Callithrix jacchus: one gene and its partners. The protein of the gene in region 1 interacts with the protein of each later gene in a pairwise test. Links are inferred from orthologs where the notes say so. Each region holds a gene or a part of one and is shown in the gene's direction. Other genes may lie near its edges. The genes, in order: NDN, FAM131C and P4HA3.

Region 1 (4,475 bases):
AGATCTAAATGCAAGAAATGACAATTATATTTAAGAAGCATGGGGACAATAAGTCTGTTCAAGAGGCATTCTTAAAAACAAGGAGCAAAACTGGCACCCTTCTGTAAGGTGCTCCCAAGAAAATGGTAGATATCCATAAATAGGGGAAGGAGAAGAAAAAGAAGTAGATGGAAAGAAGAAAGAGGAGGTGGAGGTGGAGGAGGAGGAGGAAGAGAAAAGTGTTGAAATAATTCCAAGTAAGACTGATATCTATGAATTTCCCTGGTGGAGTGGGAAGCTAAAGAGACCAAAGAGTCCTGTTGGAGGGACTGGCGTGGGAATGGCCCTGTCAAAAGTGTCACATGCATGCCAACCCAACCAGAGAAAGCACAGAAAACCCTTCAACACCAACCTGCTTGAGGAAAATTAAAGTGACAAATGAGAAAAGATAGATACTCATAGTGAGGACTCTAGACATGTCAAGACAATTTTAAAACATGCTTTGGGCTTCAAGTGGCAATAACTAGACTCGAGACAACATATTTAAGAAGCTGCTGATGAGAGGGAACCCGGCAAGGGCTGAAGGACCACATCAACGCAGACCAAGGATGCTGAAGCAGCATGGAGGCCCCTGGTTGTGGAGGCTCCAGCAATGCCCCTTTTTCCACGGACAGCCTCTAGGAGTGACAGCTTTGCCTTGGCCCACTGGGAATCTGTTTTCTATAACTGGAAAACAGGGCTATCCATATGTTGCCCCCGCTACCTTTTGGTCATCTGAGACACCGCCAGATATTGCCCATGGGACCTATATCTTTTTGGAGATCTCAGGAAGGAATGATTTGGGTGTGACTCCCAACACTGAGGACTCAGTAGCTTCAGAGAAGGTCCTGGGAGAAGGTGAATCGGAGAATGAGGTGCTGGGCAGAGGGAAAAATGCATTATCATACAAGTTTGTGCTAATAGATATGGCAATCCTTCTGTTATGGACTAAGCATGGAAAAATAAAAGAAAATGGAATCAAAGTGACTCAAAGTAAGTGTAAAAGCCAAACCTATGCCCATGAAAGCATCAATGATGGTCTAAGCCCACTGCCTCCTGAACAAGTTCACGGCTCACGCGGGTAGGAAATCACGTTAACGACACGCTGCATTTCTCCTTTCCTTATAACCGCATTTCTCCTTTCCTTATAACCCCTCTGATGTGGTAGGGAGGGAGTCAATCAACTTTTTATTGGAATTTCTCAGGATTCCAACCTCGGACATCCGCCTCACAGTTTACACGTCTTCTCGGACAGCCCGACCGTTCCTCTCACTCGTTCACATAAAGCTCCAGTTTGCACAGCCTCCCAGACCTTCCTCTGGGGCTCTCATACTTAACTGGATTCTGGATATACCCAGGCGAGCATTTCCCAGGAAAGTCGACCCCAGCATCCCCAAAACCTGAGTTATCATCTTTCCCCAAAACCTGCTCCTTCTCCACAGGCATCCATCTCCCTCCTCTCCTACCCTGAACTTCCTCGGCCGGAACAGGAAACCCCGGGATCGCTGTCCCGCCAGGTGACGCCTCACCGCGGACCCTCCCCGTCGGGGCCCCTCGCGGCCCCGCCCGCCCCCGGCCGCCCGCCCGCCCTGGCCGCGGTCGCGCAGGCGCAGTGCCGCGTCCCGCCGCCGCCCCGCCCTGCCCGCCGCTGCGGAAGGCGCCGCGCGCAGCAACGCGCACTTCCTCTCCAGGAGTCCGCGGAGGGAGCGCAGGCTCGAAGAGCTCCTGGACGCAGAGGCCCTGCCCTTGCCAGACGGCGCAGACATGTCAGAGCAGAGTAAGGATCTGAGCGACCCTAGCTTTGCCGCCGAGGCACCCAGCTCCGAGGCGCAGAGCAGCCCTGGGGTTCCGGGGGGGGTTCCTCCGTCCGCGACCCTGGCGGAGCCGCAGAGCCCTCCCCTAGGCCCGACGGCCGCCCCGCAGGCCGCGCAGCCGCCCCAGGCCCCGATCGAGGAGGTCGACCCGAAGGCTTTGCTGGAGGCCGCAGAGGAGGGCCGCGCCCACCAGGCCCCGAGCGCGGCCCAGCCCGGCCCGGCGCCGCCCGCCCCGGCGCAGCTGGTGCAGAAGGCGCACGAGCTCATGTGGTACGTGCTGGTCAAGGACCAGAAGAAGATGATCATCTGGTTTCCAGACATGGTGAAAGATGTCATCGGCAGCTACAAGAAGTGGTGCAGGAGCATCCTGCGGCGCACCAGCCTCATCCTCGCCCGGGTGTTCGGGCTGCACCTGAGGCTGACCAGCCTGCACACCATGGAGTTTGCGCTGGTCAAAGCGCTGGAGCCGGAGGAGCTGGACAGGGTGGCGCTGAGCAACCGCATGCCCATGACGGGCCTCCTGCTCATGATCCTGAGCCTCATCTACGTGAAGGGCCGCGGCGCCAGAGAGAGCGCCGTCTGGAACGTGCTGCGCATCCTGGGGCTGCGGCCCTGGAAGAAGCACTCCACCTTCGGGGACGTGCGAAAGCTCATCACCGAGGAGTTCGTCCAACAGAATTACCTGAAGTACCAGCGCGTCCCGTACGTGGAGCCGCCAGAGTATGAGTTCTTCTGGGGCTCCCGGGCCAGCCGTGAAATCACCAAGATGCAAATCATGGAGTTCCTGGCCAGGGTCTTTAAGAAAGACCCCCAGGCCTGGCCCTCCCGATACAGAGAAGCCCTGGAGGAGGCCAGAGCTCTGCGGGAGGCTAATCCCGCTGCTCACTGCCCCCGCAACAGTGTCTCCGAGGACTAGCAAGGTCTGGAGGCAGATGAAATGCTTTCTGACCCTCACCGGGGCTGTGGAAGGGTGGGGGTGGGTCATTAGAGTGTTCGGGATTTACAGTGCAGTATTCACGTGTAACTTTTAAGTTTTCAGTACAGTGCTTTTATACCTTTAATGCAATGTTGTATTCATTTGGGTACTCTTGTGTAGTATTTAGGATGTATGCATGTTTGTTTATATGTAAGCTTGGTTGGTGCTTTCGCTTTTGTGCTACCTTTCTTGGATTTTTGTACCTGAGACATGCTAAACTGACGAAGTACCTTGAGAAAGTTTGCATCTTATTATTTTATATGGGACTGGTGATGTGTGTTGGGGTAGACTGCTCCTGCAGAGTTTGGAAGAACTCACCAGCAAAGCTGGCCTAACCAAGAGAAAAGTCAAGGCTCTTCGTGACCTTGCTGGGCACAGAAGACATTCTCGTGGAGTAAACTGATTTGAACTGGACTGGTCTCAATGTGAGCACTTGGCACAATTTACTAAACACATATACAACCCTACCGTGAGTCAACTTTAAAGTAAACATTAAAGATTCTTGTGATACAATCATTTTTGGAAAAGTGTACTCTTATCATTTTAACAGAGCACTATGATTGGGAATGAGACAATTCTCTATTTTACAATGTGTACAGATGTAACTGTTTCCCCTAATAGGGTGGGAAAAATCGCTACTCGTGATTACTCCTAAATTTGTGAAGGTTATAGTTTTATTGTCTTTAAATGTAATTGTTTATTTCAAAAACATGCACAAATATAAAGTATAAAAACAAAGCAGTATGATTGTCCATCATCACATCATATGAGAATAAAAACTAAAAATAACTTCCTTCCCTTAAGTTTCTATATTTTATCAAAATTAATGGATGTCTTGTGGGCACTTAAAGAGTGAGACATTGTACTCAGCCCTAACATGTATTTTTCCCCTTTTATTTAACCCTCACAACAGGCCTGTGAGGAAGGCATCTACTGCCTTTGCACCATGGAGGAAACAGGAATAATGTAGGTAATTAACTTTCCATAGCTTGTAAAGGTTAGCAAGAGAAGGAGCTGGCACTTCAACTCAGAATGAATCCAGAGCCCACATTTGTCCCCACCTGCCTACAATCCCTCATACACCCTGTGGCTTTTAGGTTATTTATTTTCAAACTTATTTTTACATTTTACGTGGGAGCCCACACTCCCAGCTCCCACCTCCCACACTCACATGCATTCATGGGCCACACAGAGAGAGAGGCTAGGAATTTTATTTTTCTAGTTCTCACAATATTTTGGAGAAAGCAAGATTATTCTGATTGTGTAAATTAAGAAATTTTCATCTTGTTTTTGGAATTTCCAGCCAAAAAAATATTTTGTGGAGAGATTAATTAACATAAGAAAGTGATATTCATTCTTGTTTAGCAGTGAAGCCTGGATTTGAAACAGTGTTTCCTGAGGGTTGGAGGTGAAGGTGCTTTCTCTGACAAACACACAAGACACCTGGGAGAGGGGGGTGGGGTTGCCCATCAGGATATCTGTGACCTGGCAGCCCTTGATTTGCGAGGTAATCAGGTAATCCTCAGAGGATGGGATGGGCTTCAGGTGGGCTCCAGGGGCAATGCCCAAAGAAAAATATCATTGTGAATTTTCAGTCCTGCAAGGGGTAGCAGGGAGAAAAGGGCCTTTAATAAGACTGGAAGTCCTTTAAACTACAAAAGAGTCCA
Region 2 (4,716 bases), on another chromosome or scaffold:
TAGCACCCCCTGGCCCAGATCCTGCCCCTCAAAAGGCCTCCATCCCCACCCCATGCTGCTGCCTCAACCCTTATTCATTATTATCATTATTATTATTATTATTTTGAGACAGAGTCTTGCTCTGTCACCCACGCTGGAAAGCAGTGGCATAGTTTCGGCTCACTGCAACCTCCGCCTCCCAAGTTCAAGTGATTCTCCTGCATAGACCTCCCAAGGACCTGGGATTACAGGCATGCACCACCACGCTCAGCTAATTGTTTATATTTTTGGTAGAGACGGGGTTTCACCATGTTGGCCAGGCTGGTCTTGAACTCCTGACCTCAAGTGATCCACCTGCCTCAGGCTCCCAAAGTGCTGGGATTACAGGCATGAGCCACCACGCTGGCCCCTCCTTATTCATTCTTCAAAACCCCTCTCTGCCAAAACCAGTGAACCTGGCTGCCTCACCTGGAAAACAGACACAAGAGTGGCTGTCCTGCCTGGTGCACAGGTGAGCGTGAAGGAGTGAGATACCATGTGTGAGTGAGGGTCTCAGACACTGGCACTGGGAAGTTTTGCTAAAGGATCTTCAGACCTCAGGAACTGGGATGTGTGTGTGTGTAAATGCAAGCATACATAAATGTGAGTGGATAACTCTGTCATTGTGTGGGTGTCAGTGGGGGTATGTACACGCGGGAGAGTGTGTGTGTATTCACGTGTGTGTGTTTGTGTATATAATGCAAGTGTGTGTGTATATGTGTGTGTGTGTATGACCACCAGTGTGTGAATGAGGGGGATGTACACATGGGAGAGTGTGTGTATAGGTACGTGTGTGTCAATGTGAATGACTACAGAGGTCGTCCAGTGCTGGGGAAAAAACCCGTGCCTCAGTTTACTCTGCCCTAGACAAGCCCTGAGAGGCAGCCTTGCCCCCATCTTCAACCATCGCGTTGGAGATCCCAGGCCACCAGCGCACCATCCCCACTCTCTACCCCAACTTTGGGCATGTATTATTTTGCATATGTTAATTTCAACAGCTCTGAATGAGGTGTTGACAGTCAAAAGTCGCTAAATTCATAGCTTAGGGCTCACAGGCAGGGCCTCTAACTTCTGCAAGCCTCACTTTCGCCCTCTGCAAAATGGGCCTAATGGAACTGTTGTTCTTGTGCGCACCCCTCCCCAACCCCCAAGCCCTCGTGCCCAGTTGTCGCTGTTGCGGTTAAATTCATCTTGTTTACTTTGTGCCCCAAATGTCAGGAGTCTCCCCGCCCCCTCCGTCTCCTTCCCTGACCTTCAGCCCTTCAGGGAGGTGCCGGAGACCCGAAGGGACAGAGGTGGTCCTCCCGCACTCCGCGGCCACAGGTGTGCCCAGGTCTCCCGGCTGCGCTTCCCCTGGCCCCGCCCGCCGCGCCCCGCGGTTTCGCCCTTCCCTGGCGGCGGCAGGCGCGGGGCGGGAGGCGGCGGCGCGAGGCGAGCCCGGCGCGGCGGCCGCGGGGACAACCCGGGCGGGAGCGGAGGCCGAGCCGAGGGCGCCCGAGCCCCCTCCCCGCGCGTCCTCTGGCTGCGCAGCGCTTAGCCCCGGGCCCGCGGAGACATGAGCGCCCCGCGGCCCCACGCACCCCGGGGACAGCGGCCCGGCCACGCGGCCCCGTGATGGGCTCCTGCGTGTCGCGAGGTGAGGGGGCCCGGCCGGTGGTGGGGGATCGGGTGCCAGGGACCCGCGCGGTCCTCTCGCCGCTCGGAGACCTGGGGGATGGAGCTGGCGACCCGCCCTTCGCGGCCCGGCCGCACCCTCGGGGACACGGCGTCCTGAGGGGGACAGGGCTGGAGACCGTAGGAGGCGGGGGCAATACAGCGCGCGTGCAGAGGTCACCGCATCGGTGACCCGGGTTCGGTTCGCAGCCCTGCAGGTGACACGAAGCAGGGTCCCGCGCCGCGCTCTCAGCCCTACAGCCACACACCCCCTGCCGGGTGCCTGGGAGGGGAGGGAGGCTCCGGTTCTTCCTGGCTTACTGGAGGAACTGTGGGGCACCCGGAGAACTAGCAGACCCTTCTTCTCCCACCCCTCCCCAAGACACAGGCCTTACCAGCTAACCCCCTCCACCCCTCCCCACACCTTACCGGGTACCCCCATCTGCAGAGCCCCGGAGCCCTGTTGGCAGGAAAGGGTTAATGGTGGGGCACAGGTTATCTAGAAGGTTCCCCTGCCCCAACCTTTATCCCTAATCCTCCTCCCCACCCCCATTCTTGGTCTGGGGACCGAAGGGCCAGAGCTCAGCTAATGTTCCCGGTTACCCCTGGGCCTTTCTGTGTCTGACCTGCCACCCTGCACTCTCCCCCAGATGATACCCAGGGAGGTGGAGGGTCCTGCCCTTGCTTGGGGTCACAGGGCAGGCCCCGGCCCCTTCTGTCTGTGAGGAGGGGATGCAGAGTCTTGCACAGAGATTGGGGGATGGGCAGGTTGGTCTTTGGAACCCCCTTCCTCCACCCCAAGCACCACCACCAACTTTCCAACAGACCTCTGGGCAGCATTTTAGACAGCGATTGGGCTAAGCCCTTCCCCAACCTTGGTCCATTCACCCCACAGTGGGATCAGGGGGTGTGGCTGGGAGTCGGGGTGGCTTTGGCCTTGGTTCAGGCCCTGTAGGCTGAGGCCAAACCCATGGATCACCACCACACCTGTTACCCCTAGTAGCTTATCGGGAATAGAGGGGACCTTGTCCTGGGGGTGTTGAGCAAGGAGCACAACGCCCTTCCCCCATCCTCTGGACTCTAAGGGCTTCTGCTTGGGAGTTTCTGTGAGCGTTCAGGTAAGTGGCTCAGGATGTCTCTGGGAGATGTCAGGAGTGGGATCATGGGTGAGGAATGGGAAGGTACAAGGTCACTGTAACTTCCCTGCCTTTCATGGCCCGGCCGCACCCCTGGGCAGGCAGTGTCCTGAGGGAGACAGGGCTAGGGACGGCCGGGGGGCGCGGGGGGCAGGGGGGGGGCAGCACAGAGATCAAGCATGCAGAGGTCAGTCACCGCAGGCATCCCTGCCCCAATTTGCAGCCCGGAAGGCAACAGGGTCCCATGCTGTGCTCTCATCCCTGCAGCCACACACCCCCTGCTGGGAGTATAAGGACTATATGAGGTTCCTTTACTTATCCATGCATTAGGCTGATATTAACATGATGCCCACCATGTGCCAGGCAGTGTGTGCACGCTGGACATCCAGCAGCGAGGAACCCAGCCCAGCACCTGGTCCAGGAGGCCCCAGCCTAGCGGGTGGGGAAGGGAGTTTGAAGAGTAAGGAGTGCTGGGGGTTCTTTAGGCCCTCAAGAGTCTGAGGGTGTCTCCAGAAACCCCAAAGGTTCTAGGCAGTCTCTGGCTGAGACCAGCTCCAGATTGAGGGAATCTGAGTGTTTCTTCAGTGGTCACATCCCTTCCCCTTCATTTGGCCACCCCATGCCAGGTGCCTTGGGGTCCCAGCCCAGGTGGACTGGCCTGTGAGCTGAGGACCCACTGAGCACGGGGCAGAGGCCAGGGAGGAAGAGATACCTGCTAAGGTCACCCTGAGAGGCTGGGGCCCAGGTCCTCTGACCCCACACCTGGGGTTCCTTCCACCGGCCCCTCTTCCAGGGTTCTTTGGGGCCACAGCAGGCAAGGTACGCTCCTTCCACCCTTCCTCTGCAGCCTGGGCTTCCCCAGTGTCCCCCAGATCTGACTCGATGGTCCAGCTTTGTCCCACTCCTGAGAGGACCAGGCCCCTGACAGTCTCGACATGCACCCAGGAGATTTGGGTAGAGGTGAAAGGAGTATGGGGAGCCACGTGGGCAGAGGACAGCCAGGGTCCCAGAGACTGGGTGGCTGCACCACTGACTGCCCCCGCCCAGCTTTCTCCTTGTCACTGATGCTCTCCGAAGCATACTAATCTGAAAGTTTTAAGCAGCTAAAGCTATTTGAGTTATATATGAGCACAGTCTCCATCTTACAAGTGGAAAACTGAGGCAGAGGGCAGTGGAGTAACTTGACCAGGGTCACACAGCTAGGAAGGTATAAACCAAGATTAAAACCATGGTGCTCTGACTCCACAGCCTGGGGCCTCGGTCTCTGCACTCGAAGCCAGCCCTCGGCCCTGTTGCCTGCACCTGTCTACTCTCCTGCAGCTGCAGGCTGCCGTGGGCTCCTGAGCTCCCACCTGGCCCCAGCACCAGCAACTGATTGCTAATCGTAGCCTCTGAGCACTGAGTGCCTGCTGGGCCAGGTGGGCACTGCTATAGAAGGAAGGGTGGAGGGAGTACCTCCACCCTTGGCCAAGGGCAAGGATTGCAGGCCTCAGGCTGATGCCCATAACAGAGCCCAGAGCTTGCACCCAGCTGGGGCCATGCAGCCAAACCCCAAACCCCAGGTCAGGCCACAACTGGGAGAACAACCCCATCCCAGCATCGGCAGCAGTTTGCTCCTGCATACTTGACAGAGAGGATATGAACCAGGACTCCACCATTCACTAGCTCTGTGACCTCAGCAAGTGACTTGACCTTGTGTTCCCATCTCTAAATTGGTGTCATAGGGTTGCTGGGGGCACTAAATGGCTTAATTCATATAAGGCACTCAGACCAGTACCCAACACATAGTAAGCCCTTGTACATAGTAGCTATTGCTCTCTTATTTATTTATTTTTGAGACAGAGTCTTGCTCTGTCGCCCAGGCTGGCTCGATCTTGGCTCACTGCAACCTCTGCCACCCGGTTCAAGC
Region 3 (4,132 bases), on another chromosome or scaffold:
GCACTGTGACTCATGCCTGTAATCTCAGGACTTTGGGAGACTAAGGTGGGCAGATCGCTTGAGCTCAGGAGTTCAAGACCAGCCTGGACAATATAGTGAAACCCTGTGTCTATTAAAAATACAAAAATTAGCCGGGCATGGTGGCGCATGCCTGTAGACTTGGGAAGCTGAGGCACTAGAATCCCTTGAACCAGGCAGGTGAAGAGTCCAGTGAGCTGAGATCCCGCCACTGCACTCCAGCCTGGGCGACTGAGCAAGACGCTGTCTCAAAAAGAAAAAACAAAGAAGAAGTTTGTTGACTTTTGGGAAGTTAACAGTGAGAAGAGGCTGGGCGGAGTTGCTCATGCCTATAATCTCAACACTTTGGGAGGCTGAGTTGGAAGGATCACTTGAGGCCAGGAGTTTGAGACCAGCTTGGGCAATATAGTGAGACCCTATCTCTACAAAAACAATTATTTAAATTAGATGGATGTGATGTTGTGTGCCTGAAGTCCTACCTACTCAGAAGGCTGAGGTGAGAGGCTCGCTTGAGCCCAGGAATTCAAGATTGCAGTGAGCTGCGATCATGCCACTGTGCTCCAGCTTGGGCAACAGAACAAGATCCTATCTCTATTAAAAGAAAGGGGGAGGGGAGGGGAGAAAAGTTGTCTCCCTAAAGGGCAAGACTCCTGGAAACATACAGGATAGGACAATATGATAAAGCTGTGTGCCTTAATTTTTACTCCTCATTCACTCATTCTGAATATTCCTCATTCAGAAAATTGTATTAAGTATCCACTCTGTGTCACAAAGACAAATCCAATTTGGTCTCATTAAATGAACAGGTGGTCATGCCTTACATGTATTAAATGCTCACCACTTGTATCTTGAATGGCAGGTTGATGTTTTCACTACTTTTATAGCTCTGAAGGATGGCTATGAGAAGGTGGAGCAAGACCTTCCAGCCTTTGAGGACCTTGAGGGAGCAGCAAGGGCCCTGATGCGGCTGCAGGACGTGTACATGCTCAATGTGAAAGGCCTGGCCCGAGGTGTCTTTCAAAGAGTCACTGGCTCTGCCATCACTGATCTGTACAGCCCCAAACGGCTCTTCTCTCTCACAGGGGATGATTGCTTCCAAGTTGGCAAGGTAATAATATTCAGAGAGAGGGCCAATTGCTTGGCTATAGTTTCTTATGGATAAAATAACTATGTTCCGGTTGCTTTTACTTCTTTCTAATACTTAAACTTGGAAATTTGATATCATTTCCATTTTCAGAGAAAGAAAACAAGATTCAGAGAGGGGAAATAACTTGCCTTAAGATTACACAATTTTAAGTGGAGAACTAAAGCTTGAACCCAGTCTATTGACTCCCAATCTCAGGCCCTCTCTGTAGTAACTAAGGTGATTATATACTTAGGACACTCTTGAGACTGAAAGGGGTGTTATTAATTATGCTAGGACAACAGACATGAACTGGGGAAAACAGCCCTTTGGTCACCCTGACTATTGCACCCTGCCAGTGCATGAACAGATGGTTGAAAGGGAAAGCAGGGGGAAGGGAGGGCAAGGTTGGGGAAAAGGATAAGAGATGATGGTAGAAAGGTGGGATCATGGAAACAGCCTCCTGAGACTTTCTGGAATCCAACACAACATTTCCTAAGAAATACAAAATTAAAGTTGTGTCCAAAATCTAAGGCCATTCACTTTAACATTACTTGAGTAATTAGACTTCAGGAAATGCCCCCATCCCCATCTGAGTTATTTAACTGATCTTTGATTGTAAGTTGTAATCACACTTGAGATCATTTTATAATATACTCTTTGCCAGCCTTTGCCTTAAAAAGCAACGGAGCAAATCCTTTTTAATTTTGAATGTTTATTTCAGTAAGGGGTATTTTTCCTGACTCCTACAGTATTCATCACCAGATCTTGGAGTGGGTCTCATGTGTCCTGATTCCAGGTTTTGGGAGTCAGTCTTCCAAATTAAGGCAGAGTGGGTTGCTTGAGTCTCTCTACATGCTATTTTCTCTTTTCTGGGATCTTGAGCGGAATCAGAGCTCAATTATCATGTTCATGGCTGATTTAAATTTAAGCCAGGTAATATAGTTTGCTGTATGGTACTAACATATGCTTCATTAGTGAGGCCTTTCTGAAAGTAAAACCGTATGTTGAAAATGTAGTAAGTCACTTCCTGAAAGTCTTACTGGCAATCTTTCTTTCTGTATTTATTTACTTATTTTGAGACATAAAACTTTTCAAATATAAGAAACGAACATAAAATAATATAACAAGCAATTATATCTATTATTGTAATGAATATATATTCAAATTTTGCTTTCTTTCTTTAATATTTAAAACAACACGTTTCATACAGCTAAAACCCCACTCATCCTCCTCACTACTCACCACCCCATCATCCTTCTGCTGCATCCTTGCCCAGATAGCCACAATCCTGAATCATATAGTATGTGCCCTTCTGAGTCCAGCTTCTTTCACTCAGCACATTACATCTATGGAATTCATCCATATTGTGTCATTTATTAGTAGTTCATTTCTTTTATTGCTGAGTAGTATTCCATTCTATGAATATGTCACAAACTACTGATCCAGTTTTCTGTTGACAGATTCTTGGATTGCTTCTAGTTTGGGCTACTGTGAATAAAACTGCTATTAACATCCTTTTATGTCCTTTTATGGACATTTATTCTTATTTTCTTAGATGAATACCTGGGAGTGGTATTGCCAAGTCACAGAATAAGCTTCACTAATTATCAACACATGGCCAAATTTGTTTCATCTATACTTCCCCAATTATTTCTTCTATAGATTATTTTAAAGCCTTTCTAGTTTATGAAATTCTTTTTCTTTTTCTTTAGGGTTTTGCTCTGCCATCCAAGCTGGAGTGCAGTGGCACAATCAAGGCTCATTGCAGCCTTGATCAAAGTGATCCTCCACCTGGGAAGTCTTAAGTGATCCTCCCACCTCAGCCTCCTGAGTAGCTAGGACTATAGATGTGCCTCCAGCTAATTTTTAGTAAGGGTCTCACTATGTTGCCCAGGATGGTCTCAAACTCCTAGCCTCAAGCGATCCTCCTGCCTAGCCTCCCAAAGCACTGAGATTACAGGCATAAACCACTCCACCTAGCCTATCTTCTGAAATTCTTAATTGTCTAATTCTGTCATCATACTATTGTGTCTGTTGATTCTTGCTCATGATAGATTATTTCCTAATATAATTTGTCGTGTTTGGGAGCATATTTTCAGCAGGACATTTCCCCCTAAGAGAATCAATGTGTCCAGAGTTGTAGGAATATCCCTCCAGAGACTTTTGGGTTTTCTTCTTCCTGAAACTCTGGTGCTATCACTGGCCTTAGATATATTTTTATATTTATTTATTGACCTAGGAGTTCCTTGACCATATGAATATTGCAGATTTAATCCCTATACTCATATGAAGTAGAGGCTCAAAATTGAGAATATTCTTACACAGAGCTAGGCAGAAACAAACAAATCTTCTTGTCTCATTAAGCCAGCAGGCAAATTTTTTTTCTGGTCTACTTTTTATTTTAAGGTTCGGTTTTTTATAAAATCTAGTTTCATGAAGTTGTCTTAGTTTCAGTTCCCGGGCTTGGGGCAAGTCTAAGGATGGCTCATCTTCTATCTTCAAATGGGCATTATAATGCAAGGTTACTGAACACCAAGGTTACTATGAGTAACACGCAGCACCCATCCTAGGGAACGTCAGCATCTGCTCATAAGTTTATGGTTTGGGCTTTTAGCCCTTTTTGTTTCTGGTACCTGATACTCTCTGTTTTTTCCTTGAAACTATATAATAAAATGCTTTTTATAGTTTATTCAAAATGTCCGAGTGTTTGTATTTGGAAGGATTCCAGTTGTTTCAGTCTACCGTATTGCTGGGACTTCAAGTTACTCATGGAAATTTTAAACAAATTAACTTGGCAGGAAAAGTTCAGTCATTTTTAGCATTTTTTAGCTTAACCTTTTTACAAACAGGACTTGAGGTACAGAAAAAATAAAGCAACAGATTAATGGCAGACCTGGAGGAAACATGATTTATTATTTAGTCTGCAGAATTGCAGTATCTCTAGGATTTTTCCCTATCAGGAAGTTATACCCTAATTAGATCATTAAG

The links.
Region 2: the proteins of NDN (region 1) and FAM131C interact in a two-hybrid assay, tested with the Homo sapiens proteins (2 studies listed by BioGRID and IntAct). The link is inferred for Callithrix jacchus from reciprocal best matches to the Homo sapiens genes NDN and FAM131C.
Region 3: the proteins of NDN (region 1) and P4HA3 interact in a two-hybrid assay, tested with the Homo sapiens proteins (2 studies listed by BioGRID). The link is inferred for Callithrix jacchus from reciprocal best matches to the Homo sapiens genes NDN and P4HA3.

What each region holds. Positions count from the first base shown.
Region 1 is NC_133507.1:5,529,460-5,533,934, forward strand, and holds NDN (necdin), read left to right. Parts: upstream 1-1,694; 5' UTR 1,695-1,782; coding exon 1,783-2,748; 3' UTR 2,749-3,594; downstream 3,595-4,475. UniProt on the Homo sapiens protein: Growth suppressor that facilitates the entry of the cell into cell cycle arrest.
Region 2 is NC_133508.1:53,397,792-53,402,507, reverse strand, and holds the start of FAM131C (protein FAM131C), read left to right. Parts: upstream 1-1,393; 5' UTR 1,394-1,632; coding exon 1,633-1,654; intron 1,655-1,777; exon of another isoform or gene 1,778-2,789; intron 2,790-4,716.
Region 3 is NC_133511.1:66,648,908-66,653,039, forward strand, and holds part of P4HA3 (prolyl 4-hydroxylase subunit alpha-3), read left to right. Parts: intron 1-902; coding exon 903-1,126; intron 1,127-4,132. UniProt on the Homo sapiens protein: Catalyzes the post-translational formation of 4-hydroxyproline in -Xaa-Pro-Gly- sequences in collagens and other proteins.